2 linked regions of the Coturnix japonica genome follow. The protein of the gene in region 2 interacts with the protein of the main gene of each other region in a pairwise test. Links are inferred from orthologs where the notes say so. Each region holds a gene or a part of one and is shown on either strand. Other genes may lie near its edges.

Region 1 (15,779 bases), on a different chromosome or scaffold from region 2:
TGCATTAGCTGGAGCAAACAGCTCCTTGCATTATTGTTCACACCTAATGCAACAGCTTGACTTCTGCAGGTTATTTATTTAAATGCTTTCACTTTTACAAAATATTTTAGAAAAAAAAAAAAAATAGGAAATTTGCACTTCAGTTTCTCATTCTCGAAATGTGTTACTTCACGAACGTGTGGGGGACAACTTCCCAGCTCAGGAATTAGGCAAACCAAGCAGAAGCAAAATGTTACTGGAGCTTCACACAGGGTCAGACTGGAGGCAGCCTGCACTGCAGTGACCGTGTCCTGGCTGAGTTCATGGTAACATGGACCTGGAGATGAGCAGGTCGCTGAACTTCAGCAGAGAGAGATTCCAGCTAATTAAGGAATTACTGGATGAGATCCCCTTGGGAAGCTGTCCTGGGGGGGAAAAGGAACAAAACAGAGCCATCAGCTCTCTATGAACATATTTCTGAGAGCACAAGATCTCTACATCCCCAAGTAAAAGAAATCAAGCAGAGGAGGCAGGAAACTGGAGTGACTGAGCAAGGACCTGTTGGTCAAACTGAGGGAAAAGAAGGAAATGCACAGGCAGTGGAAACAGGGACATGTGGCCTGGGAAGAATACAGGGATGCCATCTGGATGTGCAGAGATGGGATCAGGAAAGCCAAGGCATGGATGGAACTGCACTTGGCAAGGGATGTGAAAACTAACAGGAGGGGTACATAGGACAGAAGAGACAGGCCAAGGAGAGGGTATCTCCTCTGAATAGTGAGAAGGGAGCTCTGGCTTCGACAGAGATCAAAAAGGCTGAGGTACTCAATGAGTTCTTGGCCTGTTCACTGGCAGCCAGGCTTCCTGTGTCTCTTGTATCTGTGCACCTTCACATCCCTGAACCCCTGGGCAGCAGCTGGTGGGGACAAAATCCCTCCTGCTGTAAGAGAAGAGCAAGTTCAAGACCACATGACAACACTGAACATGTACAGGTCCATGTAGCCAGATGACAAGCACCCCGGGGTCCTGAAGGAGCTGGATGATGTGGCTGCTCAGACACTCTCCATCATTTTTGAAAAGCCAGTGTTGACAGGTGAAATCCCCAGTGACCCATTATTTAAGGAAGGAAAGGAGCCATTTTTTAACCTAGGAAGACTGGGGGGAATTAGAAGCTGGTGAGCCTCACGGCTGTGCCTGGGAAGATCGTGCAACAGATCTCCTGGAAGCTACGTTAAGGCACAGGCCAGACAAGGAGGTGATCTGAGACAGCCAGCATGGCTTCAAAAAGGGCAGACTGTGCCTGACCAATCCGATGGCCTTCATGATAGAGAAACATCAGTGAACAGGGAAAGACCAATGCCTGGACTTCTGGAATGCCTCTGACGTGGTCCTTAGCCACATCCTTATCTCTTAATTAGATAGTGAAGGGTGTACTACATAGTGGATAAGGAAATGGATGGATGTTCACAGCAAGATGGTTGCAGTCCACTGCTCTGCGTCCAGCTGAAGGCTAGTCATGAGCGGTGTTCCCCAGGGATCCATCTTTGGACTGGTGCTCTTTAACATCTTTTTCAATGACCAAGATACTGGGATTGAGGGTACCCTCAGCACATGTGCTGAAGACACCAAGCTGAGCGGTGCAGTAGACACAAAAGAAGGAAGGGATGCCATCCAAAAGGACCTGAACAAGACTGAGAATGAGGCCTATGTGAACTTAATGAGGTTCAACAAGGTCAAGTGCTACACAATGATAGGGGCAGTCCCAAGGACATGTAAAGACAGGGAGAAGAACTCCTTAAGAGCAGCCCTGTGGAGAAGGACTTGGGCTCCTGGTGGGCAGAATGTTGGGCATGAGCCAGCAGTGTGCGCTTGCAACCCAGATGGCCGTATGCTTCCTGGGCTGCATCAACAGAGGGGTGGCAGCAGGGCAGGGAGGAGACTGTCTGCCTCTGCTCTGCCTTTGTGAGGCCCCAGCCAGAGTACTGTATTCAGGCCTAGAGCCCCCAGCACAAGAAAGACACAGAGCAGGTGGAGCGGATCCAGAGAAGGCCATGAAGATATCAGGGGGCTGAAGCACCTCTCTGACAAAGACAGGCTGAGAGCTGGGCTTGTTCAGCCTGGAGAAGAGAAGGCTCCAGAGAGATCTCACTGCAGCCTTCCAATACCTAGAGAGCCCTACAGGAAACCTTGGGAGCGACTTTTCTTCAGGGATTGTAATGGTAGGACACGGAGTAATGGCTTTACACTAGAAGAGAGTAGATTTAGACTAGATATTATGAAGAAAATTTTCACTATCAAAGGTAGTGAGGCACTGGAACAGGCTGCCCACAGAAGCTCTGGATGCCCCATTCATGGAGGTTGGATGGGGTTCTAGGCAACCTGATCTAGTGGGTGGCAACCCTGCCCATGGCAGGGAGGTTGGAACACGATGAACTTTAAGGTCCCTTCCAACCCAAGCCATTCTATGATTCTGTGAGACAACTACACTCTCACTCAATCCCCACCCCTCTGTTTTGCAAAGGAAATTTTATGTAGGGACCTTATCCCCATTGAGCCCCAAGTCTGCATGTACATAACAATAACGTTTTACGTATCTACAGACTTCTGAGGACCTCAAAGTTATTTGCTAACAGTTGTCTAATCCTCACAACACCCCTGTGAGGTAGGTATGGTATTATCCCCAATTTATAGAATCAAGACTTTAGCGTGTGGCACAACCACACACAACTGTTCACAGACCTACGAAAGCAGCTTCTCAGCTTGAGCAAAATAGTGTTAATGCTCCTGCAGTGCTTCGGAGAGTTAAGAGTTTGTACTGGCACTCTCATTCAGGCTGGGAGGTGCGAGCAGTTAAAGCAAAGTGCTAGGTAGGTTGCTACTCTGCCACCTCAGGCAGGTCGTTTTGGAATGTTTATAAAGGTGGCTGGACTGGCTGAACCGTTTGCCACACTTCAGGCAGGCATAAGGCTTCTCTCCCGTGTGCACACGGATGTGTTTCTTACAGTCCGTTAAGGTCAGAAAAGTCTTGCAGCAGATCTTACATGCATATTTGCGTGCACCTTCTACAACCAAGACATTGTGCTCAGATAAGGCTTTCTTACACTTTGAAAGAACATCTGCAGATGCCCGCGTCAGCTGTGGAGGACCAGGTTGTGAAGGATGCCCATTTTCAAAAGAAGTGGTCCCATTGATGATCAGCTGGGAACTGGGTGAGTTATCCTGCAGCTGGGAGCTCCTGACAGAGGTTACAACAGGCATTTTGGGGGCTATGCGGCGGTAGCCAGGAGAGCTACTGACTCCCCCTCTTATGGAGCCTATCATTGCCCTTGAGAGAGAATGCAGGCCTAAGCCTGACCCTGGAAAGTCCATACCAAACTGTTCTGCAGCCCGGTACCCAGAAGTCTGTACACAGGGGAGACCCATCACATCCTGCATTGGTCTAACAAAATGGGACTCTGCAGGCTCACTGAAGGGATTCTCAACATGAGAGACTGTGGCAGATGAATGACCACCAGCAGGTCCTGACTCTGGACTCATCAGGAAAGAAGCATCACTGTCCATTCTGCAGTCACTTGTTGTATTTGGAATGTTGTCATCAGTAGTTTGACTAGCACCGTAGCTGCCACCTCTGCCTTTATTCAGAAAATTTGAGATACTGAAAGTAGACTTGTGTTCCAGGTTATTTGACACCTCCATAATATGGATATCTCCCACCCTATCTGTAGTAGACTGCGGATCAGAAAAGCTGCGATCACTGCTCTCAGGACTCAGCTCTATCTTCTCTGCACTCACAACTCCTCCTTCCACTTCAACAGACTCGCTGCCTTCTGCTTGGGAGGTGACATCACTCACCTCGTCCTGAGGCTCCGGGGAACTCAAGGGCTCGGATTTAACAACCACCCTCATGTGCTCTTTTTCATTTATGCTGACCTCTGGATTGTCACACGGGAAGTTGTTTTTCTCAGATGTAGCCTCCTGGTCAAAGCTGGTTTCCACTTGTGTTGCTTGCGATGCCATGGACATCTGTGAAATGTTTCCTCCACTGTTGTCAGACTGGCTGGGTACTTGAGTGTCTTCCTGAGCACTGAAAGACTGATCAAACATAATGTTATTATCCTCCTGGTTATCAGTGACAGCATCAGCCTTAGAGTTGTCCACTATCTTCAGTGAATCTGGTGAAAAGAAATCCTCCCGTGAATGAACAACTGACTGCCCGCTCTCTGGAGCCACATCAGAAACAGCCTCATCTATGGCAGGCCTCATTCGCTGCCTGGCCCGATCTTCAGAAGACTGCTTACGCTTGTGGAGGCGGCGAATAGGAAAAGCAGAGCGCTGCTCTATGTTGCTTCTCATCGTGGAACTCATAGTGCTTGGCTGCTCCTCTGAGCTCTGAGTGGAATTCAACGCAGAGCTCACAATGCTCAGCCCAAGCTGCTGAAGCATGAAAGACCTTTGAATGCGTGCGTTTTGCTCTTGAACCCTATCGCTCGGTGGAGACATCGGCAGTGTCCTGGTAGTAAGGTAGTGTTTGCATGCTTTAACTACAGAGTTCAAATGCAAGTGAGATGCAGCCAGCAAGATATCCATAACGTTGCTCTCTCCAAGCATAAGTGTAGAAGTGTACATCATGTCTATGAGAGCAGCAAAGGCTTCTGCTGTCACCACTTCACTATCCAGCTGAATCATATTCATGCTTTGATCTCCTTCTGCTACAGTGAAGAGAGCTCGGAAATGGGTACTGCATGCTGCTAAAACAGAGCGATGGGCTTTGAAATGCCTGTTTCCCACCACAATGACGCAGTCACAAAGTTGGCCGTGAAGCCTCTGGTAGTTGAGCTGCTGAAAGATTTGCTCAAAGTGTCCCGGAAAATCCATGATCCTATAAAACAGAAGAGAAGAAAATATTAAAAATGGCTGAGGTTCTATTTAAATCACAGTGGGATTGGGTTTAAAAATGAAAGAGGATGGCTAAAAGACGGATGAACAATAACCGGTTCATCAACTGCCACATTGTTGCTGTATCAGAACTAGCAGTCTCCCAAAGGAACACATGGGAGAGAAAAACAGACTGTGGTGTAGCTAACAGCATAACAGCTACCCCAGTGCCAGACTTATCGTGGGCAGCTCCACTGCAAACTGCACAATGCCATTCATTCTCCTGTTAACTTCTGTCCAAACTCTAAAGATATTCTCCAGTAAGATATTTAACCCCAGTTTAATTAAAAAATACAATTAAAAAAATAAAAATCTAGTCATTAGGTCATGCAAAATCTGACAAAGCATTCCCTACTTCTCTCAGCTGCCAGACTGGAGAGGAGCAGCAAGATGATGTTCCCAAGCACAAGATGCAGCTGTACTCACCGGCCTACCACTCCTCTAAGGCACACAACACTTCACAGGTATGAGCTGGAGGAAGATTTTGGTGTGTATTGTACTACACTAGGAACCCTTCTCCCTGACTAAAAATAATGGAGCTTTATGAAAACACAGAAAAGCAGGAATTCCTGCCAGCAGGAGTCAGAGATGGTTGAGAAGCATTTGCCTCAGACTTTAATTGGTTCCTAGGTAAATTAAAAGCTGTAGGAAATTGCATTTTATGCCTTCTAACAATGCTGAGGGTCCAGTCTTACTGAGGCATCAAAAATCCCTTAATTCAGCAACACAAAGGCTGCGATGTCTGAATGCCTGAAGTAAGCAGCGTGATGAGATTCAATAAGTACTTTGTCAATCTCCCTTATCCCTGCAGATTAAGATATGTAATAAAATTGAAGAGTTTGAAACAAAACTGTTCTTTTAAGATGCAGGAATACAGATAAAAAGTGATTTTTATTTATCTCTCACTACAAATGTATATTTGAAAGTAAAGCAGGGCATCTTCAAACAAAAACGGTATCAGGACAGAGATATTTTAGATGGCTTTTATTTCTGCACATTTTCTCTAAGAGCACTGTAATGCATGGGAAAGTGAGGAAATCCTTTCTGCATTCCTTCTGAATGACAGAAGAACCAGGCAGCAGACCCTGAAACGCAGCGACTTCGGGCAACTGGACAAAAGGATCATAGAGGAACTGCAAAAACAGCTACAAGCCTCAGTAGGCAGAATCTGAAATTCCATAGAGGACACTGCTGCTCTAGTAACCAGTGCTGCTAAACAGCTGCCTGCCTTCGCACGTCAGGCTAAACTAATGACCTACTTTGTTCCACCCACCACCATGCTATGACTTCCTCCTCTGTAGTCTGGAGGAGGGCTTCTCTGGAAAGTCAAAAATGGTCTGCTGAACATCTACTTATTTGTCTTCTTTGCTTGCTTCTGAGATGGGCCAGGTGCTACACCAGAGATAACACGCTGCCCATGGCTTCAGGAGTTAAAGCAAGGCCTAGGGAGAGTTTAGGAAGAAGAGGAGAAGCAGGCAGGGAGGCCCTGCAATTGCCCCAACACCAAAGAACTATTATTTCTTCCTCTCCTTTTAGACGACCATCACTGCTGTAGCTGTTTATGCTTGAGGGACCTGGATGTTGGTCAACTTCCTTTCAACTCACTCTTCCTCCTGCAAGGAGTAGAGCTCCAGGGAACCATTTAATATTCAAGGATGACCTGATCGGTGTACAGAGCTGTAGACAAGAGACCCTGCAGAACACCAGGAACCCACCAGCACAAGACACAGAAGCTCCTTCTCCTATAGGCCGGAATTAGCACTACTTTTCAGCTACAACAGCCTTACAAAATGTGTCAGTGTTGAACCACAACCACCACAAAAGCAGCCAAGGCAGGAGAGCTTCAGTGTGCTGGTGTTCTGCAGGGTCATACGCAGCCTCTGGCTAAGGGTGTTTGCAAGATGTAGACACTTTGAGGCTTTCTTGGGCTGTACCATGTCCCAATGTTCTCAGTGCCCATCCCCACTGCACTGCCTGTGTCCCTGCAGCCCTGCCTGGACTAACAAAGTACACTCAAGGCTGCAGAGGTGTTTCCAACCTGGCTTGGGGCACCCACAGCTTCTCTGGGCAGCCTGAGCCAGGGCCTCACCGCCTCATGAATAAAGAATGTTCTCCTAAGACATAACCTAGGTCTCCACTCTTTCAGCTTGAAGCCATCAGTCCTTGTCCTAACATTACAATCTCTGCAGAAGAGTCAAACTCAGCTTTCCTGTAGGGTCCTCTAGGTACTGGAAGGTAAATGCAAAGTCTCCCCTGTGCCTTCCCTTCTCCAGGCTGAACATGCCCAGCTCGCTCAGCCTTTCACTGCAGGGGGAGCGCTTTACAGAATTACAGACAGAAGGAAATGGGACCCCCAGCTTTCTTCAACACTTCCAGCAGGTTTGATCACTTGAAGCACAACTCACTCTCTGACCTAACAGCATTTTCAAACTGCAGGAAAAAAAATAGAGGATCTTTAGTTAGCAGCAGCTTAAATGAATTCTGGGTTTCTTCCATACAACTGAAGTAGTCATCAGTGTTACATTGCATTCACATATGCACTAATATGCCAAATGCCAGCTGTGAAAGGCATTCTTTGTGTGTGCCTGAAAATGACACAGGAAAACACCAGCAATTAGCAACCTTGATGACTGTCAATTTAACTCAGAGCAGCTCATCTGAAGTTTCTGCTTTGCCAGGTGTTCATCTCACAGCATTTGTTTCCCAGTGATCAGGGAGGATGAGTTATTACTTGCCTAAGAATCAGAAAACTGTACTGCAAAAGCTGCTGCTGATTGCACCCACCTTCCAGGGAAGAGATTACTTTGTAATGTAATATGCTCTCATCACTTGAAAAGTATTAACAACCCATATTGCAACCTATAGCAATACTAGCCTATCAATAAGCACTAACAGCCTAGCCTTGTCAGCTGCAAAGAGCAATTCTAAACGGAGCAACTGAAAACTTTGTTAAAAATGCTAGATATTTCTTAGACATTCTTGATTATCTGGAAGAACTGTCCAACTTAGCTGCGAGATCTGGTTTAGTGTTTGCTGTAGCTACAATATTGGGGTGACGGTTGGACTGGATGATCTTGTAGATCCTTTCCAACCTGGTGATTCTGATTCCCCAGTGATTCTGACAGTGGCTTTGTGAGAGGCTTTAAACAAACTCTAGGCAGAAACTTGCTGAAGAAAACTGTTCTTGCCACAGAAGTGACTGTAACAGAGTAACAAGGCCAGCTCTACAAAGATTGCATTAGTATCCTGTCTTCAACCTAGCAAAGTACCTATATCCACATTGCTGATTCAACCCACCACTGTGTTGCTTTATATAAGAATGGCTGAATGATCTGCTTATGGTGATCCAAAACTCACTGAAAAAACTCCAACCCTGTCATTCCACACACAGAAGGAAGTAAGTCTATACAAATGACTTACAGGGCTCTGTGTATTTTATGACATGGCTGCTGAGCGAGGGCCTGCATACCACCCTCATGTAAATCTGCACCAGCAGAGGTGACATCTGTCACCACTGCTGAAACGCAGCATCCACCGCCTCACTGTGCCCACATCCACTCTTTGTGCTCCATAAAAGTTTAGCACACATGAAAATGCATTGCTAATGGTGGTTACCATGCTGAAGAACAGTGCTTGGTAACGGAGCATTTGCTCTACCAAGTGATCTAACTGTTGTAGTTTCCACAGACATAAACAGGAGGCATTACTTTCAGAGCAACCTATGTAGCACACACAACGATGTGAAACAAAAATATTTTAGTAAATAACAATTGCCATGATTTTCAAGTGTGGATGCTGAATCAAACTCCTGAGCAATTCTGAAAGGGTAGAGGAAGAAATTAAGCACATCTGGTCAGCTCCAAGACACAACTGCGTTCTGGACTTGACACAGACATCAGTGCTGACTGACCTTTCTCCTGTAACAGACAGGCTTACGGCACAGCAGCAGACTGGCTCCCAGCTTATCCACCACATGGGTCTGTCAGCATGAGACAAACCATCAGCTGCAAGACGGGTGTAACAGATGCCCCACACCATTAGAGAATCACAGAATTAGCAAGGTTGGAAAAGATCATCTAGTCCAACAATTCCCAATACTTCCAGGCTAAATCATATTCCTCAGCACCACATCCAAACATTTCTTGAACACTCCCATGCTCGGTGACTCCCCCACCTCCCTGGGCAGTGCATTCCAATGCCTGAATACTCTTTCTGAAAAGTAATACTTCCAAATGTCCAGCCTGAATCTCCCCTGACGCAGCTTAAAACCATTCCCTCTAGTTCTAAGTTCCAAGTTAGCAAGAAACAGCAGGTAGGGACAGAGGCGCTGTCACAGAATCACAGAATTGTAGGGGTTGGAAGGGACCTCTAGAGATCATTGAGTCCAACCCCCCTGCCAAAGCAGGCTCCCTACACCATGTCACACAGCTCGGCGTCCAGGCGGGTCTTAAATATCTCCAGAGAAGGAGACTCCACCACCTCCCTGTGCAGCCTGTTCCAGTGCTCCGTCACCCTCACTGTAAAGAAGTTCTTATTAAGGAACTTCCTATGCTGTACTTTCATCCCATTACCCCTAGTCCTATCCCCACACACTACTGAAAAGAGACCAGCCTCACCACTATGGCCCCCACACCTCAGGTATTTATAAACCTGGATCAAGTCCCCTCTCAGCCTTCTTTTCTCAAGGCTCAACAGACCCAGTTCCCTAAGTCTCTCCTCATAGGGGAGACGCTCCAGGCCCTTCACCATCTTTGTGTCCCTCCACTGGAGTCTTTCCAAGAGATCCCTGTCTTTTTTGTACTGGGGAGCCCAGAACTGGATACAATATTCCAGATGAGGCCTTAATAGGGCAGAGTCGAGTGGGAGGATCACCTCCTTTAACCTGCTGGACACACTCTTTTTAATACACCCCAGTATGCCATTGGCTACAAGGTGCTAGCAGCGTGTTAGCACCTCCCCAACCCAAGTACCGTCCTCCACATCACGGCTATGATGAGCAACGACATGAACGTGAGACAGGAGGGCCTAACCCCAACCCTAACCCTAACCCCAACCCTAACCCTATAACCCTATAACCCTATAACCCTCCTAGCATCACACCAGGACCCCCTCACACCCCACCCCTCGTGTAACGCATCCCATCGCTCTGTCCCTCCCTCCAGTGACCGCAGTGGGCACCGCCGCCGTTACAGACCCGCTCCAGGCTCCTCCTTCAGCACCAGTGAAGCAGTGCGGGCAGCGGGGCCGGCACACCGCCTGTTGTTCCCGTGCTGTTCCCCTGTTGTTCCCCGCTCACACCGGGCCCAGCGGCACCGAACCCGCCGCGCTACGACGCTCCGGCCCCGCGCTCCACCCCCGCTCCCACCCTGTCGCCGCGTCGGCCGGAAATGACGCCATATTGACGAGAGGATGTGACGTCATCTCGGAGCGCCCCCACCGGAAGTGCCGCCATTACGGCGTGGCGCCTGGCCTGTTCCTGTGTGTACCGGGTATGGCCACCGCCACGTGGAGATACCGCGGGGATCCCGAGCAGGAGCAGCCGGCAGTGCTGGGTGAGCAGAGATGCGGGATGGGCGGTGCGGTGCGGTGAGGTGCTGAGGGACTCACGGCCTGTTTTATCGCCCGTAGTGACGTTCTCCAATGGGCAGCTGCAGCGACCCGACGCCGTGCGGTTCTCGCTGTACCGGAGCAGCGAGGTGTCCAACCCCAGGAAGAGAAGGCGGAGGATCCTGGTAAGGCCCGGCATCACCGGGGGTGGGATCTATGGGGTCTATGGGGTCTCTATGGAGAATCTGTGGGGTCTCTGTGGGGAATCTGTGGGGTCTGTGGGGTCTCTATGGGGATCTATGGGGACTGTGGGGTCTCTATGGGGTCACTATGGGGATCTGTGGGGTCTCTGTGGGTCTCTATGGGGGTCTCTATGGGGATCTATGGTGTCTATGGGGGTCTATGGGGATCTCTGGGGTCTCTATGGGGTCTCTATGGGGGTCTCTATGGGGTCTCTGTGGGGATCTGTGGGGTCTCTATGGGGTCTCTGTGGGGATCTGTGGGGTCTCTATGGGGATCTATGGGGTCTCTGGGTCTCTATGGGGGTCTCTATGGGGATCTATGGTGTCTATGTGGTCTCTGTGGGGATCTGTGGGGTCTATGGGGTCTCTATGGGTCTCTGTGGGGTCTATGGCGTCTCTATGGGGGTCTATGGGGTCTCTATGGGGATGTATGGGGTCTATGGGGTCTCTATTTGGATGTATGGGGTCTCTATGGGGGTCTATGGGTCTCTATGGGGTCTCTGTGGGGGTCTCTTTGGGGTGTATGGGGTCTCTTTGGGGTGTATGGGGTCTCTTTGGGGTCTCTATGGGGGTCTATGGGGTCTCTATGGGGATCTAAGGGGTCTCTATGGGTCTCTATTGGGATCTATGGGGTCTTTATGGGGATCTGTGAGGGTCTATGGGGTCTCTATGGGGATCTCTATGGGGGTTTATGGGTATCTGTGGGATCTGTGGAGTCTCTATGGGGATCTGTGGGGGTCTTTGGGGTCTCTATGGGGATCTATGGGGTCTCTATGTGGGATCTTTGGGGTCTATGGGGTCTTTATAGGTCTCTGTGGGGTCTATGGGGTCTCTGTGGGGATCTGTGGAGTCTCTGTGGGGATCTATGGGGTCTCTGTGGGGATGTATGGGGTCTGTGGGGTCTCTATGGGGATGTACGGGGTCTATGGGGTCTCTATGGGGATGTACGGGGTCTGTGGGGTCTCTATGGGGATGTATGGGGTCTATGTGGTCTCTGTGGGGATCTATGGGGGTCTGTGGGGTCTCTGTGGGGATCTGTGGGTCTCTATGGGGTCTCTATGGGGATCTATAGGGTCTCCTGGGCAACCTGATCTAGTAAATGTGTATGTTTGGTGGCCCTGCTAGGCAGGGGGGTTGGAACTACATGATGCTTGAGGTCCCTTCCAACCTGGGTCATTCTGTGATTCTGTGAAAGTCCTAAAGATCATCCAGTCCAACCGTTCTCCTATTACCAATAGCTCCCCCTAAACCATGTCCCTCAACACAACATCCAGTCGTTCCTTGGGCACCCCCGGGGTGATGATCCTCTGGTTTGTAATGTTGCCTTCCCACAGCTCTGTGCCACTTGGCTCATTCTGACATCTAACACTTGTTCTGTAAACCGAGAAAGGCTTTGAGTAACTGCATCAAGCAACCTTAAGCACTGCGAGTAGGATGTGCAGGTGACTGGTACAGAATGCTCCTTTCCACTGCCTCTTTCACAGACTGCTCCTACTGCTTTAAAGGATGGTTTATTTATTTACTTTATAAAGTATAAAGTAAATGGAATATGTAAAGTAAAGTAAAGGAATATGATTTAGCTGAGAAATATCGGTAATGGTTGGACTAGATGATCTTGTAGGTCTTTTCCAACCTTGATAATTCTGTGATTCTATGGTGACCGTGGCAAATTTGAGCTTTGTGTCACTAGAGATACAGTACATGCAGGAAAATATGCACTTTCAAATAATGCACTCTTCAAGTAATTTTTTTCTTTGTTTGTCAGGTTTCAGAAACTGAAAGGCTTTCATACGTGGGGAATAACTTCAGCAGTGGATCTATGAAAAGCAACTCCCTATGCAGGTATGGGTAGCTGGCAACGCTGTGGCAGAAACAGGGAGGGGAAAGCAGAGGAACTGCACAAATAAAGTATTTTCTGTAGCCTTCTGTATTGGGGACTGATGAGTTCTCATTGAGACCATGGTGTGAATGGAGAGGATTGGGGCAGTTGATATAATCTCCTGGCAGCTGCACCATTTTGCATGTTGTGATCTTACACATAAGTGGAGTTTAGGTCTGCTGGAGGGAAGAAAAGTGAGAAGGTGTCTGCACATAGCTGAAACCTATGGACAACAGCATTATTCCTTCTTAACTGTTGTCTCGCTCCAATTTAGGAGTGAGGCAAAGGTTCTTTTAATAATGTTATGCCCGGCGTGAGATTAAGAAGAAGAGCATTCAAATGTTGATCCGACCAGTTTATTGGAAATAATAGACAATTGAGGGGATGGGGAAGGGAGAGTGACGAATGCCAAAATTAGGGTGATGGGGAAGGGAAAGTAGGCGATAGAAAAAGGTAGAAAAGAGCAAGAATTACGTTAAAGCGGGGAATAGTCACCTCCTGGATGCAGCAGCGTCCCGTAGCACGTTGTTAACGTTGGTCCGGGGCAAAATAAGCGTAGGGGAGAGCAGCAACGGAGTAGCAGGCTGCAAACAGCAGATCGGTGAATCGCAGAAAAGATGGTCAGAGTACCGTGGTCTCTAGAAGCAGAGTCTCGGGCAGCGAGGTCCCTCGGAGCAGAGTCTCGAGCAGCAATCCCAGAAAAGAGAATAGGCAGCAGTAGGACAACGGTGGAGGAATCTGAGGTCGGATACCTAGATGCCCACAAAACCGTGGTTTGTCCGTGCCCTTTTTATCCTTCTTTCCAGCCTTCCAGAGATTTCGGGAAGGCTCGGGTCAGAGTCCTGTGACTTCCTCAGAGATGTCAATCTTCCTTGAGATGGGCCAACAGGAAAGACCACTTAAGGGCCATTAGTCCTCAGGGATGGCCATCTTCCTTGAGATAGGCCAACACAAAAAGACCACTCAAGGGCCATTGATCAGTATCTTATCTCCCTTTCGTAGCTCCCGGACTTGTCCATCTCCTGTGTGTCTCAGACAAAGGCAGTCCTGGAACCTTGGCCAGGACTTGCCTGAACTTGTCCATTTCAGCAGACTTTGAGACAGTAATGTAAAAAGCATGGCTTCTTACAACTGTCAAGATCAGTATCTTGTTCAGGAAACCAGTGGGTCATTAGTCACCGTTTAACTTCGGGGCCACAGTCTGGTGGTGCTGTATGAATTAATAACTTGTCTGTGCCTCATGCTGCAATGGGAAGCCTTGGTGAAATCACCAGTTTTCACATGTCCTGGTTTCAGAAGGTGAACTTTGTAGCCTGGAGACAAATCCCGTGAATTCCTAAGAATTATTTTGCATGGGGGATCATTCCCATCCTCTAGCAGAATGACCTTTTGTATAGGTGGAAAACCAGTGTAAAATCATCTCACTTTGTCATATCTAACCTACAGAGCTCTGATGTACGTTTGGTGTGGGTGTCAGGCTCCTGTTAGCAAGCGCTTTGCCCCATGAATGTGCTACATTCATCCTGCAATATTTGCTCGTGGTTTATTTCTACTCTGACTATGGGGACTACTTAAAGTAGAAGTGGGGTGACACAACAAAGAGTAAACAGAATTGCAGAAACTGTTAAGATGAGGTGCTTCCAGCCATTTAATGTCCTTATGTTAGTTCTTTTGAAAGGGTCGTGATATAGATTATTAAATTTTTCTTTCCAAATACAAACTAGATGACATTTAAAGGTCCCCTCCAACTCTAAGGATTCTATGAGTCTGTTCTATGATTCTGTGGTGAGGAGCAGCACAAACTATTTGGGTTTGCTCGTCTGAAGTGTGAAATGAAAAAGATTTGACTTGCTAGAAATTAACCTATTCTAGAGATTTTAAGTTCATTTTTCTCAGCTCTGAGAGTCTCATTGGTTATCACTTGCACTTGTTCTCCCCAGGTATTTTCTTGGTGTTTTAAACAAGGATTCTGGGCAAATGGAAGTCTATAATGCTGAAATATTCAACATGCAACCTTTACTGTCAGGTAGGACAATTCTTTATTTAACCCTTTTGTGCCAAGGTCACAATGTCCTGGAAATATGTGTGCATTCAAAATTGACTAATTTGCTACTGACAGCATTGCACTCTGTTTCCTCCTAGTCTTATTTCTGCTGTGCTGCCTTAGGATGAGGGAAGAAGGATACATCACTCTGTCCACTCCTGGGGAGCAGTGTGGCATGAAGAAAGGGAGAATGAAGCAAAATCATAGCTAATATTGAGGGAAAGGTTAAGCAGAGAGCTTGGGGGTGGGGGGGTGGAAATACCAGAGTTAGAAATAAAGTTGTTACTGCTTAGAATAATTGCAGCCCTTCTCCTGCTGAGAGAAGCCTGGAAATAATCAAGTCAGTAGACTGAATCATTCACTGAAAAAGAAAGCAGCTTTTCCCCAGCAGAACTGCTTTTAATTACTGAATCTAGTGGAAATAATCCGAAGAATATCATCTTTAGGGAACTGTTTTCTTTTGTGGGCAACAGGAGCTTAGTATTGCAGCAGCCTGTGCATTATGCTTTTAGATTTTGTAGCAAAAATTGTCCTGCCTTTCCCTCTTTCTTTCAGGTGCATAGTCTTTCATATTCAACATATTCCTTTGTTAACAAAATCCTGTAGAGAAGATCCTGAATTGGTGTACCTAATCCTTCTGTAATTTATTAAAGGGGTACCAAATACATGCACTTTCCTGCGAGCTGCAAGCCAAACATACTAATTTTTATTCTTTTGTAGATAACTTTATTCCTGATGACACAAGGGATTATCAGAATAAATCCTACAGGGAAAAGGTAAAGTTGAAACCTGATATCATAATGTGCTATAGTTATCCAGCAGACAGTGGTAAATACTTGTCTGAAACTGAGATGTTTGATTTGTTGCAGGACAAACTTGTGCAGGGTCAGCATTCTTTCTGTGCATTGCAGGTTTTTGAGATAGCATGTTGTTAGTGTCTAGCTTAGCAGTATTTTCCTAAATACTTTAGACTTGTCTACAGTCCCAGGTAAAACATGCCCTCTTGCATTTCTTTGTTGTATGCTTTGTTTGTACCCAGTGTTATGTTTGGAATTACTTTAAAAATGTACATGCAGAACAAGCAGTGGTTATCTGGGTATTCTTTCTGCATGCAGAGTGTCTTGAATTCAGCAGTGTGTTGTCATTGCTTCTG
Region 2 (15,322 bases):
ATAATTTGCCTTTTTACAACTCATTTGTGGCTGGCACTTATGTCCTTGGTATCTATCTCATCATTCTCTGGGGCAGCAGCATAAGTCTTGCTTTAATGCTCTGCTATCTTCCTGTGAGAAGGAGGGAGGCAAATGTAGAAGTCATACATCTGATTTTAAGTAAGTGTAAAGAAACGTGCTGTAAGCCAAGGGACAAAGGAAGAGCTACAGGTGTGTTAACGCAGCTCAGACTTAACTGATGCTTAGTGAAGTGAGACCTCTGTCTTCATATCCTCTGTGTTTTAGGCACCAACAGGAAGAAACCGTTTTTTCCCCCATTACAAATGCACCTCACCAAGAAAATAGATATTCCTTAAAAGATGTTTGAAATAATGACTTAGAGATAATTGGTTTATAGATTGACCTTTCACCTACCTGTTCTACCCAGACCATCCTTTATTGGCAGGAAGAAAAACTAATAGAGCCCCAGAAACTGTTACACATTGTGCCTTGAATGTCTGCATGCCACTTTTCACTTTGCTCCAGTTCCCTACATTGAATTGTCCTTGAGCTTGTTGGGGGAAAAAAGTCGAGTTCACTATTTGTCATATAATGAAAGCAAATCAGAAAAAAGGCAAATGACTGTAGGTTTTCTGCTGAATATAATGTGGGTTATAATAGTACTAATACAATCTGTATTAGCTGGAATCCATCTTTGCATTCTAAAATCCCTTACTTTATCTCCAGTTGTCTCTGAACCCAAGGCAGGAAATAATCCTTTCTAAGATGAAAAATGGCACAATTCTACAAAGAACCCAGATTTCCCCATCCAAAAACAGGATGGCTGGGATAACAGCTAACAGTCACCATGCAGCAAAAGGATGTAATTGCTGCAGGGAAGGACAGAAATTCTCTAATACAACGAGACTTTCAAGTGCTACAGCAGGGATTATTAATATTTTATAAGTACCAACAAAGAGGCAAATGTGACATCCAAATCAGAAATCCAAGAAGACAGATGTATGAAGGCTGCTCTGAAAGTAATGCCTCCTAATTTATTATGTTGGCTCATGACAACAGAGGTGTATGTTGGTGGTATGGCAGCACAGGCTGAACCTTCCCACCAATATCCTGTTACGTTTTGTTGTCATATGTGTGTCACTGAATTCCTCCATGCAGAAAAAAAATGGCACTCGCTGATATTCACTGCTGAATGAATTTATGAAGACACTTGCTGAACATTTATGGAGACCAAGCAATGGATGTGAGCACAGTGAGTGGTGCATTTCAGCAGTAGCAGCAGTGACAGTAGGGCACCTCTGCTGGTGCAGATTCTTACAATTCGCAGCATGCAGGTGCTTGTTCATGGCTGGCAAAAATGCAGAGCTAATATTGGTGACTATGTGAAAAGGAGTGTTTCATAGTTAGGAATTTGCTCTATCAAATAGTGCTATTGTACACTTTGTATCTGCTGTAGTTTCCATGGAAATAAATAGGCGTTACTTTCAGAGTGACCTATGTATATCTCTACAAATATTCACATGGAATTTTACAGCAGGAGGAGTAACAATTAAGAACCTGGTTTAATTTTCTTCCAATGTAGAAATAACAGTGCATTTAGCAAGCACAAGCCGTCCTGCCCTGCAAGGCAGAAGTGTGCGGGAAACTTTCTAAAGACACCATTGCAGCATTTGTTTAGGAGTAGAAGAGTTTAGACTGCATAGGCATCCTTTACTCAGGCACCTCCTAACAGCACACTCTGCTCTGCACTGTTGGCACCCATTTTTAATCATGTTTGGTGAGGGTGATCTGTCCACTGGATGCATACTGCAGATTGTCAGCTAGCAGAAAGTAAGCGCAAGTGGGATTACAAGCTGCTCTATCTTACATGCGATCCAAAAGACATCTGCTGCCTTTTTAACATATTTATAGGTAATGACCCCGGGGAGCCAGATCTGTTCTCAGGACAGACTGGCATCCTGTATCTGTTTTGTTGACTGCTGTTGCATTGTGAATATGTTTTTGTCCCCCGTCTAAACTCTCCTGTTAGAGAAGTGAAACCTTAGTACTAATATTCCCAAATGCTATTCTGGCAGTACCTCATTTAAATTCCATGGATCATATACAATACCTTTGTCCATCTTCCTACACAGTTCTAGGGGCCTGCCCCAGATCCACTATACCTTAGGGTTTTCTCAATTACACCAGCACATGAAATCTGTGAGCTGCTGCAGGACACAGTTGCATGAACACAGAGCTGTATCTCCTCATAACAGTCATTCCATCTTCACTCATTTATTTAGATGACCATATAGCAAATAAAGAGATAAAAGTACTACGCCAAGAAAAGAGTGTTTAACTCATTTCTGTGGATTGGCTATCTCATTTTTTAAAGTATCACTGGGGCTGAAGGGCTCTGACTGCCTAGAGAGAATTGAGCTTTTCACAGCAAGGCAATGACATGTCTAGGCAGAAGGCAAATCGCCTCCAGCAGAAGGTAGCAACTCAACCAGTGAACGTGCATCAGTGCAGCTGGAGCTGGTACTCAGTGTAGCTGCACACTTCTGTTCATAGCTTTTTGTCTTGATTATTTTAAACAAATGTTTTGCTTGTTTCCTGTTACTCCATGTTAATCTTTGTTATTATGGATCACTTACCTACTTGGGTGGCTTGCTACCAGGACTGATGTAATGATGCTACCTAAGAATATGTAAGAATTCATACCTAGCTTGCAATAGGAGCAATTTTATGTCTTATAAACTGCTTCCTTTTTAGTGCTGGATTTACAGACTTGTTACATACATCTCTTTTTGCATACTGCTATCATTCTGACTCAGAAGTGTCCCCAGACACCACAGTCAGGAACCAAGTTTTGGGTGTCATCAGGGCAAACTGAGCTCTGGCCAACAGTACTCTCTGGCTCTCAGAAATTTATTTGTAGCAGGTCCTTTGTTTCTCATTGAGAATTAGAACACTGAATCCATAGCCAGAACCAAAAGGAGGTAAGTCTATCAAAGATGAACAGAGTAGAAGGCAGATCCCTAACACAAAATACTCCCAGGCTGGAAACAAGTCAGCTTACATAGGAATCCATGCAGCCTATGACAACAGCTAACACAACATCAGGCCACACAGTGGTATTAATTCATCCACATAAGCTGACACTTTGTTGCAGCAGAACAGAACAAATGGAATATATGTGTTAGAGTGCAGGTTACTGAAACAGTCCAAGGTCAACTGGATGGCAGACAGTAGCCTTGCTACTATGTGAGTTACCTCTGCTGTCACTTTGCTGATAGATGCATCTTGTCTCAGGCAGACTGAGAGCTGACAGCTTTGTTTTTAGCAATATCATATATAAAAGTGTTCAGAATATATATATATATAAAGCCCAAAACGAAGATCCTCAAAGCCATGAGTAGGTTACACAGCTTTGTATATGGATTGGCAGCACTGCCTTGGAAAACCCATTGGTAAAGAAGGCTTGAACAACTTAAAGAATGTACTCAAAGCTGTGGAGTGAGTCAGTGGAAGAAACTGGAGTCAAACAAGTGCCAAAACACCTTGGCCTATGTGAAGGATAGCTGCTGTGACTTGGCCACAAAACATCTTCATAGCTTTGAATGAGGTTTTATTTGCACTGACACAGGAAGATCAGACATGCTCCTACAGTGAATGGCAAGGTAAATGTCTGCAAGGCTTTTGTGCTGTTAGGATTAGCACCACTAACAAGCTGTTGAAAAGGAGTGTTTTCTGTTCTCTGTGCTGTAAAAGTGACTTGGTACTTTTGTCCACTACCTATTTGCAGCATAGGAGCTGCTGCCAAAGAGTGTGGCACATCTATGCATGCACAATCTCAGCCTTAGCTGCCTATGCAAACAAGGCAAATGCACTGGCAAGTGCAACTGACCGCTGTCTAAATGTACATGTACTGTATTCTCATTTTCACCAATGATAAATTATGTACCATTTCCCCCTACATTTTGGAAGAGAAATGGAATAATTATGTAGGGGTTTTTTGTTTTTGTTTTTTTTTTTTTTTTTTAAAGTAATACCTCCTATTTATTTCCATGAAAACTACAATAGTTACAAAGAGCACAAAACAGTATTTGATAGAGAAATTCCCTGCTACAAAACACTCTTTTCCAGCACAGTTAGCACCACACATTACTCACTTTCACCAGCCGTTAACAAGAGCCTGCATGCTGCACTTGTAAAAATCTGCACTAGCAGAGGCAACCACACATCTCAGTGTTTCACCACCCATCAGCTCGCTGTGCTCACACCAACTGTTTGGTCTCCAGAAACATTCATCAAGCATCAAGGAACATCAGTGGATGCAGTTTTTTTTCCACACAGTGGAATTCAATTCCACCCCTTTGCTTCATCTGCACTTCAGTATCAGACACCATGCTGTCAGACTGCCCCTCTGCTGCCATCTGTCACATGGCTGCAAAATATCATGGGATATTGGTGGGAAGGTTCAAACTCTACTGTCATATCGTCACCATCTGCCTCTGAAGTTGCAAGCCAATGTTATAAAACAGGAGGCATTACTTTCAGAGCAGCCTTTGTAGAATGATAAATTAAATAAAAAAACACTTTTTCCTGTCACTATAACATAATTTGTAATAAGGAATGTTCAGACTTCTTCCGCTCAAGTGCCTTGGAGACTCACCTCAGAATCTGTGTTTACATCATTAACGATTATACAGTTATGCAATGTACAGTTACACAGTCAATAGGTAAACAGAGGTTAAATCAGATGCTTCATATGAAAGATTATTGTGACAGATATAGGGAAAATACTTACCAGTGTCGAAGGTTCAGAGTAAACTCCAATAAGGAGCAATCTCCAGAGAAAGAGACCCTGCCTTAGTGGTGGTCAGCCCTTAAATGAGATCTGGGAGAGGTGGAGTCAAGCTCCATCCCTTCCGGTAGCTCAGCTGAATTACCTTCACCTGTGCTCCCACAGCTGACTCATTGCTTGCCTCAGGTGGTTATTCAGAGGTTCAGGCTGTGATCAACAGCTTCCCTAACACTGATAGATTTCTCAAGGGATAATAAAATACTAAAGAGATAAGAGCTGAAAATAACAGTCTAATTATTAAAAACTAAGAAACTCCAAGTTCTGATATGGCAATCACCACAGAGTAAAAGACAGCGAAGACAAAAAGTACAGATGTGTGGGAGATCCAACACACAGGAAATATACTGAACACACTTGAAATAAAACTGCTTCCAAATCCTTTTACAAAAGAAATAGGTAAGAGTTTTGAAGGAAAAAAAAGGGGGGGGATCAGATCATCTTTTACTAATCAGGCTTCATTCAGTATTCCCTGTCTTTTTCAGTGTGATAACTTTAAAACTCAGCTAAGCCTGTTGTTTCTTTACATAAATATTGACTCTTGGATAATGTGCACACCTACTTTCTTTATTATAAATTCAAGAGAAAAAACATAAGATGGTAGTATTCTTTTTGTCACTCTGTCCCAAAAAAACAACTATCTTTGGTCAACCTTCCAGCACAGGAGGAGTTCAGTCATTTTCTATTCTCACTAAAAAAGACAGGCTGACATTTCTGTACTGAAATCACAGAAAAGTATGAAAGAACCTCATCTAGATGAGTTAAAGAAACCTGATTTGTCCTTCACTACAGGCCTTCATTCCAGGAGCTGGCTACTGTTTGACATTTCTGGTTATTTTAATCAGTCTCCCTTGGAAAGGCTCAAACTGTTCATTAAACTGCATCAGATGAATCACTGTTTTGTTCCGTGAGTCAAAATCAGGAACACAGTGGTTGTCATTTCACGTAAGGCTGTACACTCACGTGTCTTGTTCTGGTAGCAATTAGAACCTGGTGCTTATGGAGTTTAAATGGTGTCTCAACTTATGCATGGCTTGACTCCCAGATTGCTGAATGGGAGATTCTAAAAAAAAATCTACAACAGATTTTCAGCCGCATTACTTGAATTTTGAATTCAATCTCCTAGAATCTTGCAATGCTTAGTTGTTGATTTGGCCTTTTTAATGAAAATCCATGTCTGGCTCTTTTGGAAAGAATAGCAGAACAGAAGACACTACCTAGAGTCCCACTCTCTTCATTGCACAAGTCTAAAATCTACCAGTTACCAGCCAGCTCTCTAATCTACAGGCTCTGCAGCTCACCATGTGTGCTACACTGTCAGTCCAGTTGAGACTGAAGAGGGAGGGCAGCATTTCACATGGTGAAAGCTGCTGCAGCAAATGAGGATTACCGTTTTCTTTCTCTCCTATTACTGATTGAATGTCTCTATCGCATCAATAAGCTCATCACCAGATCTTCAAATACAAGGTCACTGGTCTTCTTTAAATGGTGATTAAGAGAGGACACTACTGACTCCTGCAGTAATTAACATTTGCATTACACAAGAGGCTATTCCAAATCAGTCTGTAGCTATGCGGAACGTACAAGAGCACTGTAGACCTCAATTTCCTGCCTGTAAAATGGAAACCTTTCCTCTTAAATTGTTTTTTAGGGCAAGAGGTTGTGAGACTGTGGGTGGTATGTTCCCAAAGCCACTACTGCACTTAACTAACCAGAGATTTCCTTTCCAATATTTATTTAGCGATCCTGTAGGCTAACAACATCGTCTTGTGTTTAAAATATGCCAGAGTCTCAAATGCAAACATCCAAGGACAGTGTTTTCAAAGTCACACACTATGTGTTTTCATCTTGAGCAGAGTTAAGATTCAGAAAACAATCACTCACCGTCTTGATGGTTACCTGAATCAGCTGGAGACTTGCTCCGGCGCATAGGGGCTGGACTCTTTGCTGAGCTCTTCTGAGGGGTGGGAGATGACTTACTGCCCGTGGCAGCTGCAGGGCTCCCTTTCATCACCCGGCACTCTAAGGAAAGAGACAGTAACCATGGTTATGTCCCTCCCTACTCTCACAGCCTATGGGCACTAGCTGTGAAACACGCATGGGTGGCCCAGTTGCTTTCTGTTTCCAAAGAGCTGTAGAAAACTTCAACACTAGGGAAAACTGGCATTTCCATATTGTCTTCAGGCTAGAAACAAGACATTTTAGGGACAGGGAAAAAAAGGAGAGCTTTGCTCCTCTGGAAGAGGCACTGAGACTGTACATTAAAATCAGGATTCTCTCCCTGGCAGGGAACATCTTAGTACCTGTGTCCTGCCAAGTGTTTTCTACCCTTCCCCTTGCCTTGATGCCCACCAGCTAGAGACCAAAATGAAAATGGTCAGAATTTAGTGAGCAAAGAACAGGTCAAAAACCAATTAATCTGCAAAACTCTCCCATGAAGACATAGCAGTAGGAACAATGAGTACTGTTTATGCAGGTGCATAAAACCAGCAAACAGCTCATAGCATGACTTAAAGATAAGAGGTGAATGGGACCCGTGACCTAAGAGGCTTTTAACCTGTTCATGCTCTCTTTCTGTGTTTTCACCAAGTTGTCCTTTACAGATGTGGAAAGCAAAGACAACAAAATGGTTTTATAAAATACACCCTCTGTTCTAGTCAGCCATCTCTTTCAGAAAGGTTTACATAAACAAATGCAGTAGATTCATGTACTTAATGCATGAGCAGATGAGAGCCCCAACTGTGTTTTGTTAAAAAAAAATAAACCAGGCAGGAGGAGGGGAAAATGTAAACATGATCTACAGTGCTGTGCAGAAGGGAACTGAAATGCTAACAAATCTGTATGTGTTCCAGGAGTTCAGGCATATCAGGTCTTCAAAACCAGGGTTTATTTACATTAAGAATGGATAGAAAAAGCACTTTGCCTTCCCAAAGTTAACATCTCAGATAAGAAGTTGGCAATAAAAAAGAAATTCCCTCTCTGTCCAATTCTAACTGGTCTCATCTCCTATAACCAATTGTCCTCACATGAAAAACAGGTCCTTTTTAAAGACGTGAATTAGATGTTTCCTGTACAGGCAAGTTTTTATAGAAAAGCTCAGCTCAGCATGCATGGGCTGCACTGAGAATTCCCTTGACTGGCTTTCTTAATGGGAATTAACTGAAGCAGAATACGGTAGATGGATACATAATTGGTCAATTGAAAACAAGTTGTCTGACCTAAATGTATTTTAGTGTTATTTTATTTATATATCAGAATATATATGAAAATGTAATTGCCCTAAATCTTTTCCCCAGGCTTTCCTTACTCTCAGACAGTCAAGAGTCGGTCTCTTCTTCCAGATGGGATGATTCCCTGTGCTCCAGGGATGTCGCATGGTAATAATTAAACCCACATTAAGTTTATTCTCTCTCCTACTACATAGATTCTGGAAACTGTAAATTAGGGATGTAAATTGTTTTGTTTTGTTTTCTTAAGGTACTTGGCTTCTCATAGATGATGCCACAGAAGGTCTTGTAGAGCTTCAGAAAAGAAATATACCCAATTTTTTTATCTCCTTGGTTCTAAATAAAAATGTTTGATGAGGCACTCTGATAGCCACCTGAAAGAGTGTGCAAATAACTGCTCCTGGTGTTAATCAGCCTAATGAAAACATGGGGGACAATCATCTTCAGGCACTACAGAAGTAATATTTATCAAGGCTTTTGCATGTAGCTGTTTATCAGAAACAGTGTAACGTTTGGATCAGCAATGTCAGTGCACCAGATACGGCTTTCTCAGAAACCAAGGGACTTTAAAACAGTGAGTTACATCAGTATTTAGTCATCTGAATTGATCCTTAAAATATAAAATCAAAAAAGTGAAAATATTTTGTTGCTTTTTTTCAAGAGCTTATTCAATTATTTTTTTTCTCCCCAAAGGATAATTCCTCACAGAGAAGCTCAGCTCTGCATTTACCAGCATAGAAATGCTGACTCTGATGAATTTCTCCAGCTCAGCCATCAGCAAGTGTCAGCACACCAAAGGCAATTACTGAGCATTTGTATGCTTTGCAACGAGGTAATAAATGTGGACATCTGATTGTGCTGACGTCAGTATAAGCAGACCTCTTAGCATTGTGGGGTGTGACATTTCAGTGTGCTGATGCTGAAACCAGCCAGTATGAATGCGACAGAGCAGCAACATCTGGAAGGTGCTTAGCAACAGGGATTATAGGGCAGAAGCTGTGGTGGGCAGTCAGAAAGAAAAAGATGACATAATCCTCTCATGGTATTTCTCTTTTTGTTTCCTGATGTCCTGCCAGAATGAACATAATAGCCAGCAATTCAAGTACATGTCATCCCAATAGGCAAGAGAAAGTATCCATGACAGAAGAGATTTTAATAAGTGACATTCATCCGAAAGACCTCAGGTTCTCTTTGCAGCATCTGATTCATAACAAGGAAGAATGATGGGTGGATAATGGGAAAACGCTGCTGGCTAATAGCTCCTCATCTGTTTCTTGGGAAGTGCAGGGTACCCTTACTCTCATGAAAATACAATGGGGAGCTGTAGATGCTCAGTACCTGCCCAACAGCAAGCTTGACTTATTTTTGTTAGAGAAATCTAAGCTGAAAAATGTAGTAGAAACCAGGAGTGTAGGCAGAGAGCTGAGCTTCCCATGAAGTTGTTCTGCTAGGATTACATGCAATTTGTTTTATATGTGGAGCTCCCTGTGGAGCTGACTCAACTGCAGACTGTTAAAATAAAATATGAAGCTCACATTACAGATTGCTTCACCAGCCTGATGCAGGCTTTATTCTCTGTCTGCAAAGTTTCAGCTGACCCCTGGAATCTTTGAAACACCCTAGACCACCAAACGGGTTCATCTGGAGTACACAGGTCACAAGTATCAGCATCAAATAAATTTAGCCTTGCTAAGGAGTCATAAAAATGCAGTTTAGAGGTTGCTTTGCCTACTGATATACAGCAGAATATACAGTAGAAAAATAGAGATTAGTCTTCTACTGCTTAGTTCTTAAATAAGAACAGATTGAAGAACAGAGTGTGTTCAACATTACCGCTTTCATCCAGAGAAAAGTCATCCTGTGCATAGCGGAATTTCTCAGGGCCACAGGCGATAAACACATCATCATCCCCAAAGAAATCGTGGAGACAGGTCACCTATAGAGAGAGCAAAGTCATTCATTTTAGTTTTAATTGGCAACGTTCTGACATGGCTCAGTGTAAATTTAAGCAGGAAGGCATTGCCTCTCTGCTACCCCTGAGTCGCACACTTACATGGTCCTGCTTCCTACAAGTCAAGCAGAACAGTGTAATTAAAAAGAAAGAAGAAGAAAAAGAGAAAAAAATGCATCCACCCTGCAAAGTCCAATGAAGTATGGAATTTCCAATCCTTCAGGAGCCGACAGCCTATTAACATATCCTATATCCATCCTAATGAATGACACAGGCATTCCTGAACTGATTCAGAAATAATAAGCAGGGTGCCCCCACGCTGGGTTAGTAAGCACGGCTGTCACCATTGCCCACGCTGATGAACATTCCAGTACCAACAGAGTCTAGAAACTCAAGGACTGCTAAGAAGAGTGGCTGGGCACAGCATGTTCCCACAGAAGGTGTCTCCAAGACCATTAGCAGGTAATCCTGGTCTAGTGGTTGGCAACACTGCCCATGGCGGGGGGGGGGGGGTGAAACTAGATGGTCTTTGAGGTCCTTTTCAACCCAGGCCATTCCATGATTCTACAAATCTTTTTGGACCTGCAGAGCTGGACAGGAAACCTTCATCCCACCCCCCCTCCCTCCTTTCCCATGTCCCTCCAGCACTTGTGCAGCAATTGGGCCTGAAAAAGTGGGAACGCAGCTGGGCACTGTTTGTATCAACAAGGACAGCACTGCTGGTGGCCATTCAACATTCATTTCTCTAGGTGCTACACTGTGAATAACAACATATTCTGATATTTACACAGTCACAGTCATGGCAATTTGCACAGTTACCAGTGAAATAATGAATGCAATTACACAACAGCAGCAGGATAACTGTGCTGAGGGTAATTCCACTGGAACCAGTGGTAATTACACATTAACTCATGATCATGCTATTGTGCTGTCTCCAGTACCTAAAGTTAATTCCAGTCATCTCAGCGCAAGGACATGTGGAGAATGTGCACATCATTGCTCTTCAGGGAGAACCTTAAACACCCAGATTTGTAACCAGTATATTGCAGAAAATTAATCAGACTCCTGGCAAGCTGACAGGTGCTCTTTCGAGGCAAAAAAAGATGATGCTTTTCCATCTTCACAGAATGCTCTGAAAACTTTCATGAGATGCAAAGTAACACTTGTTTCTAAGAGGGATAAAACACTTTGGAAAATCCAACATCAAAACTTCTGTGTTCAAGATGCAGGTGTTCAATAGAGAAACAGCCTCTGTAGGCTCAAGGGACATCAAATTGTGTGTACACAACTGACTGCATGGAGTTTAGCCCAAGGTCCTGGTCTCCCAGCCACCTACTGATTAAGTACAGTGTCAGGAGGAGAAAAATGTGCTAGTACATGAGCATGGGGCATCTCCAGCATCAGCCCACTGACAGCACAGCTGTGCACCTGGGTGAGCCCAGAAGCACAGACCTGCACCTGCTAGAAATAAGTAAACAAAACAAAACAAAAATGCAGCCTTTTCACAAGACCACTGCAAGTGCCTGCAGTACTGGCACCAACATCTATAATAGAGGTCTCAGATGGTTGAGGTCCAGTGTTTTGCCATGTCTGGCCACTGGGGCCTTCACAGAGGTCATATACATCCCAAACAACTGGAGAGAGCCCTGGAGACAGCAGTGGAGAAACTTACTGTAGACAGCTGAATTTCCGTATCTATGGATCTATTGGAGCTGGACTGTGAAAAGTTAATTTCAAGCTCTAATAAATAAAATATAAAGAAGGCTTTTGGCTATCCTAAGAGGGCTCAGTATTTCACACTGGTTAATATAATGCATAATTAAAGCACTGACTAAGAGTGCCAGCTCTGTTTACAATGCCAAACATTAGTGAAAAGCCTCCTTTTCATATGTGCACAACTTTCAAAATGGAGCAAGATGAAATCTGCAGTGGCATTGATCAAAGGCAGAATTTTCTTTACAAACTCAGCGAACTGCAATCTCTATTTGCCTGAAATTAGGATGAAAATAGTTAACACATCACGTATTGAGAACTCCCCCACAGAATGATGACATTTCAAACGAGCACTTGGTATTACAGTCCTCCCTGAGGGTGCATGCCACTGATTCATTTGCAAATAATTGGGTTTGGCTCAATACCCGCACTCCCATCTGAATTCTAAGTACTATACGTATGCCACAGACACTCGCGGTTTGCTTAGCTCACTCTTCTGTATGGAAACTGCTGTGCAAAGCTAAATCACAACATAAGGGTTCAAAAAATCCACAGCCTTTTAGATGAAATCAGAAAGAACCCAGAGGGGCTTTCACCCTCTCCAGGTCACAAGTCAAAGGGTATTCTTTGTCCTTGAACTCCCCATTACCGCAAGCAAAAAGAAAATTCAGGCAGCCAAGGAGGCCCTCAGATCAAGTGTCTTAAGTGTGACAGATGCACTAAGACAAATATGATGACATGTCAAGCAGAGATACTTGCAATTCACCTTCTTGAATTCTTGCCTCTTCAGCTAGTAGGTTAATATGTATGTTTTATACTTGTGAACAACTGGCAGGCTAAGCACTGGAGGCTGATAGTTAAATTGCATAACTCATTTGTTTTGTTCCTGATACTGAGGAAACAATAACTTTTGTATTTGTTTTATTCATTCCCTTTTGTTTCCTGTTGTAAGGAAAGAAAGACAAAATCCAACCTCTTTCTCATCAAACAATGCAAAACATTGAAAATTCAGAAAACAACGTCACTTCATGTAGTTCTAAGTTAGGCACTTTGCTTCTGTTCACTGTACATAGTATTTGCTATTTACCGGTTGTTTATTAAACTTAAATCCTTGATATTACTGTATGTCTCTGGAGCACACCCCGTATGCATCGCTGTCTATATAAAGTTGCTAGAGTAGACTTGCTTTGTGAAAACATGCAACTTAAGTGCTTGGTCTTACTGCAAGGTCTTACTGCTCCCAAGCCAGCCTGCCTAAATGTGGGCAGAAGAAGGAAAACACCAGGAGAGCAGCCCCAGATATACACATCCCTGCAGGGCATGGAGCCAGGAAGAGGGACTGTGAGCTGCTCTGCTGGGACAGCTGCTTGGAAACCTCATCAGCCAGTATGGAACACACCAGGGGTGTCCTTGCCCAGCAGTACTGAACCTTTACCTTGCATTAACTGGCTCAGGGGGTTTTCATGACTCCAGAATAACCTTAAGAATCGTCTGATCTTTACTCTTTGAAAGCCTTTTTTCTCACATTTTCTCAGGAAGAAAAAAAAAAAGGAATTCTACAAGCCTCTCCCCAGGCACTGTAGACTATTTTAAAAGTACATGTTCTGCTTTAGCTTACCCTAATCAACTGCTCTAATTATATCCAATAATTAGTCTGGAACACCATGAAAACCCTGGAAAAAAAATTACCCCAATGGGTAACCTGAATATCATTGTTTTAAATGCTTCCTTTTGCTGTTAGCTATCATTTCATTGAAGCACAGGGCAGAAAAAATGATAGCAGTCTGCTAGTGCATACACCTGTGCTGCTACCTGACAATGGCCACTGTGTGGATGGTTCTTATCCTGCACGATTTGCAATGGCACTGGCATTGCAAAATTAGTAAGATGTTGTCTTCTTGAATCTGCAAATTTTGTTATTAATTTGATCTATAGTGGAAAATTAAACCTGTGTATATAATTACAGTAGAGAGAATAAATAACATTGGTTTACAAGCCTTTGTTTAAAGAAAGATAATATTTAATTTGAAATTCAAGACTGAAACGATAATATTGACATAGAAAGGATCACATTGCATGAAGTGTTTTCTCTCCATTTCCTGCAGCTTAAGCAATGCCAATAAAGGAAGTTAAATCTTCATGCTCCAGTAGATGAAGTGCAAATTTATGTCTCACAAAGTCATTCTTTCTAATAGATTTGCTGGTAACATTTTTCTTTGTGTCAGGTTTTGATGTTTTTTTAAACTTTACAGTACACTTTAGGGAAGGAGCAGAAGTCGGTAGAGATCAAGAAGTTTTAGGGAGCACCAGACCATTCGCAGTTCCTTGGGTTTGTTTCCTCATTAAATGAAATCCTTCTCTGTGTATATTAGAAAAACCTTCCCTGAGAGAACAATGTCATTAGGATTTCCAGGAGGCGATTTCCGCAGTGACTCTTCATTAGTGTCTGCTGCAGCCATTTTAATTGTGGAAAGGAAAGATACGACCTTTGCAGTGATGCTGAGCCTTCCAGTTCATTTTAACACAGCAGCTGTAGAACAAACCATTCCACAAAATGGAGCTCGCTGTGAGCTTATGGTTGGCTGAAACGGTTTTGGTGTAGATAGTCTTAGTTCGCCTGGAAAGGGAGCAGTCAATATGCAGGATATAGGCGTGCAACTGTGAATAACCAGCTCTCCCTACCATCCTCCATGAGGCAGCAGGAGTATTTCAAAATTCTAATTCGGTAATAAACGAAATAACTGAAAAGAATTACAGATCAAAAGACTGAAGGCTTAGTCTATGTCACCTACCGGTGCAGAACCTCCTGAGCTTTATAAGGGTGTTATGCTTAACAAGCACTTTTTGTTCCCTTTCATAACCTGCAGAATGACAGCTTGCAGAGTATGCATGGCTAATGTGTTTCCTCACTGTCACTCTAGTACTGGCAGAGCAAAGGCTGTCACTGCAGTAACAGGCTCCAGCAGCACTGTGGGCACTGCCACTGCTGGACTGAGCTCTGCCACTTATGCAGGAGATCTCCAGTAGCCTGGACTGGCCATCACCATTTGCCAAGAACACAGAGGGTGTCTCCGAAGAGTGATACATCACAAGGAGGGTTAACTGAACTGTCTCTTTCATCTTTCTGAGAAATGCCTTTATTAGAGGTTCCTATTTTTAGCTTGACAGAGCCAGGTCAGGCTGAAAGATAAATGGTCAGATTCTGTAGCTGGTGATTATTCAGAACAGTGATTTATGTACGTACTCCTGCCCTCAGATTTTCCATCTCTTCCTTATGTTGTGGAATGACTGAAGACCTCTGTTTAAATGGCTAGCAGAGATCTGGCAAAGGTTATTTGGAATGACATAATCACAGCTCTGACTTGGGGGCTGAACATACCCCATCTCAGGACTTCCATCTTTAACCAGCTGCTTGCTTCTGTATAAGTCTTATGGTACGAGAGCCAGGGCAAGATTTCTTCTGTTCCTTTCTCCCTTAGTCATAATTATTATTATTATTTTTTAAATTCTTCCCTCTGTAATAACTTTCTTGTTAGGAATTTAGATGGCAGAACAGAAAATGATAGCCATGTTCAAACTGTTCCT

What was found.
Region 1: the proteins of DCX (region 2) and ZBTB5 interact in binary tests that used the Homo sapiens proteins (3 or more experiments, as listed by UniProt). The two-hybrid records come from large-scale screens. The link is inferred for Coturnix japonica from reciprocal best matches to the Homo sapiens genes DCX and ZBTB5.

Annotation. Positions count from the first base shown.
Region 1 is NC_029547.1:66,744,905-66,760,683, reverse strand, and holds the start of ZBTB5 (zinc finger and BTB domain-containing protein 5), read right to left. Parts: upstream 9,019-15,779; 5' UTR 8,953-9,018; coding exon 8,825-8,952; intron 4,859-8,824; coding exon 2,830-4,858; 3' UTR 1-2,829. Other genes in the region: POLR1E (DNA-directed RNA polymerase I subunit RPA49), read left to right, coding at 10,406-10,466, 10,543-10,646, 12,469-12,545, 14,523-14,608, 15,347-15,402. UniProt on the Homo sapiens protein: May be involved in transcriptional regulation.
Region 2 is NC_029519.1:12,538,621-12,553,942, reverse strand, and holds part of DCX (neuronal migration protein doublecortin), read right to left. Parts: intron 10,010-15,322; coding exon 9,907-10,009; intron 6,869-9,906; coding exon 6,731-6,868; intron 1-6,730. UniProt on the Homo sapiens protein: Microtubule-associated protein required for initial steps of neuronal dispersion and cortex lamination during cerebral cortex development. May act by competing with the putative neuronal protein kinase DCLK1 in binding to a target protein.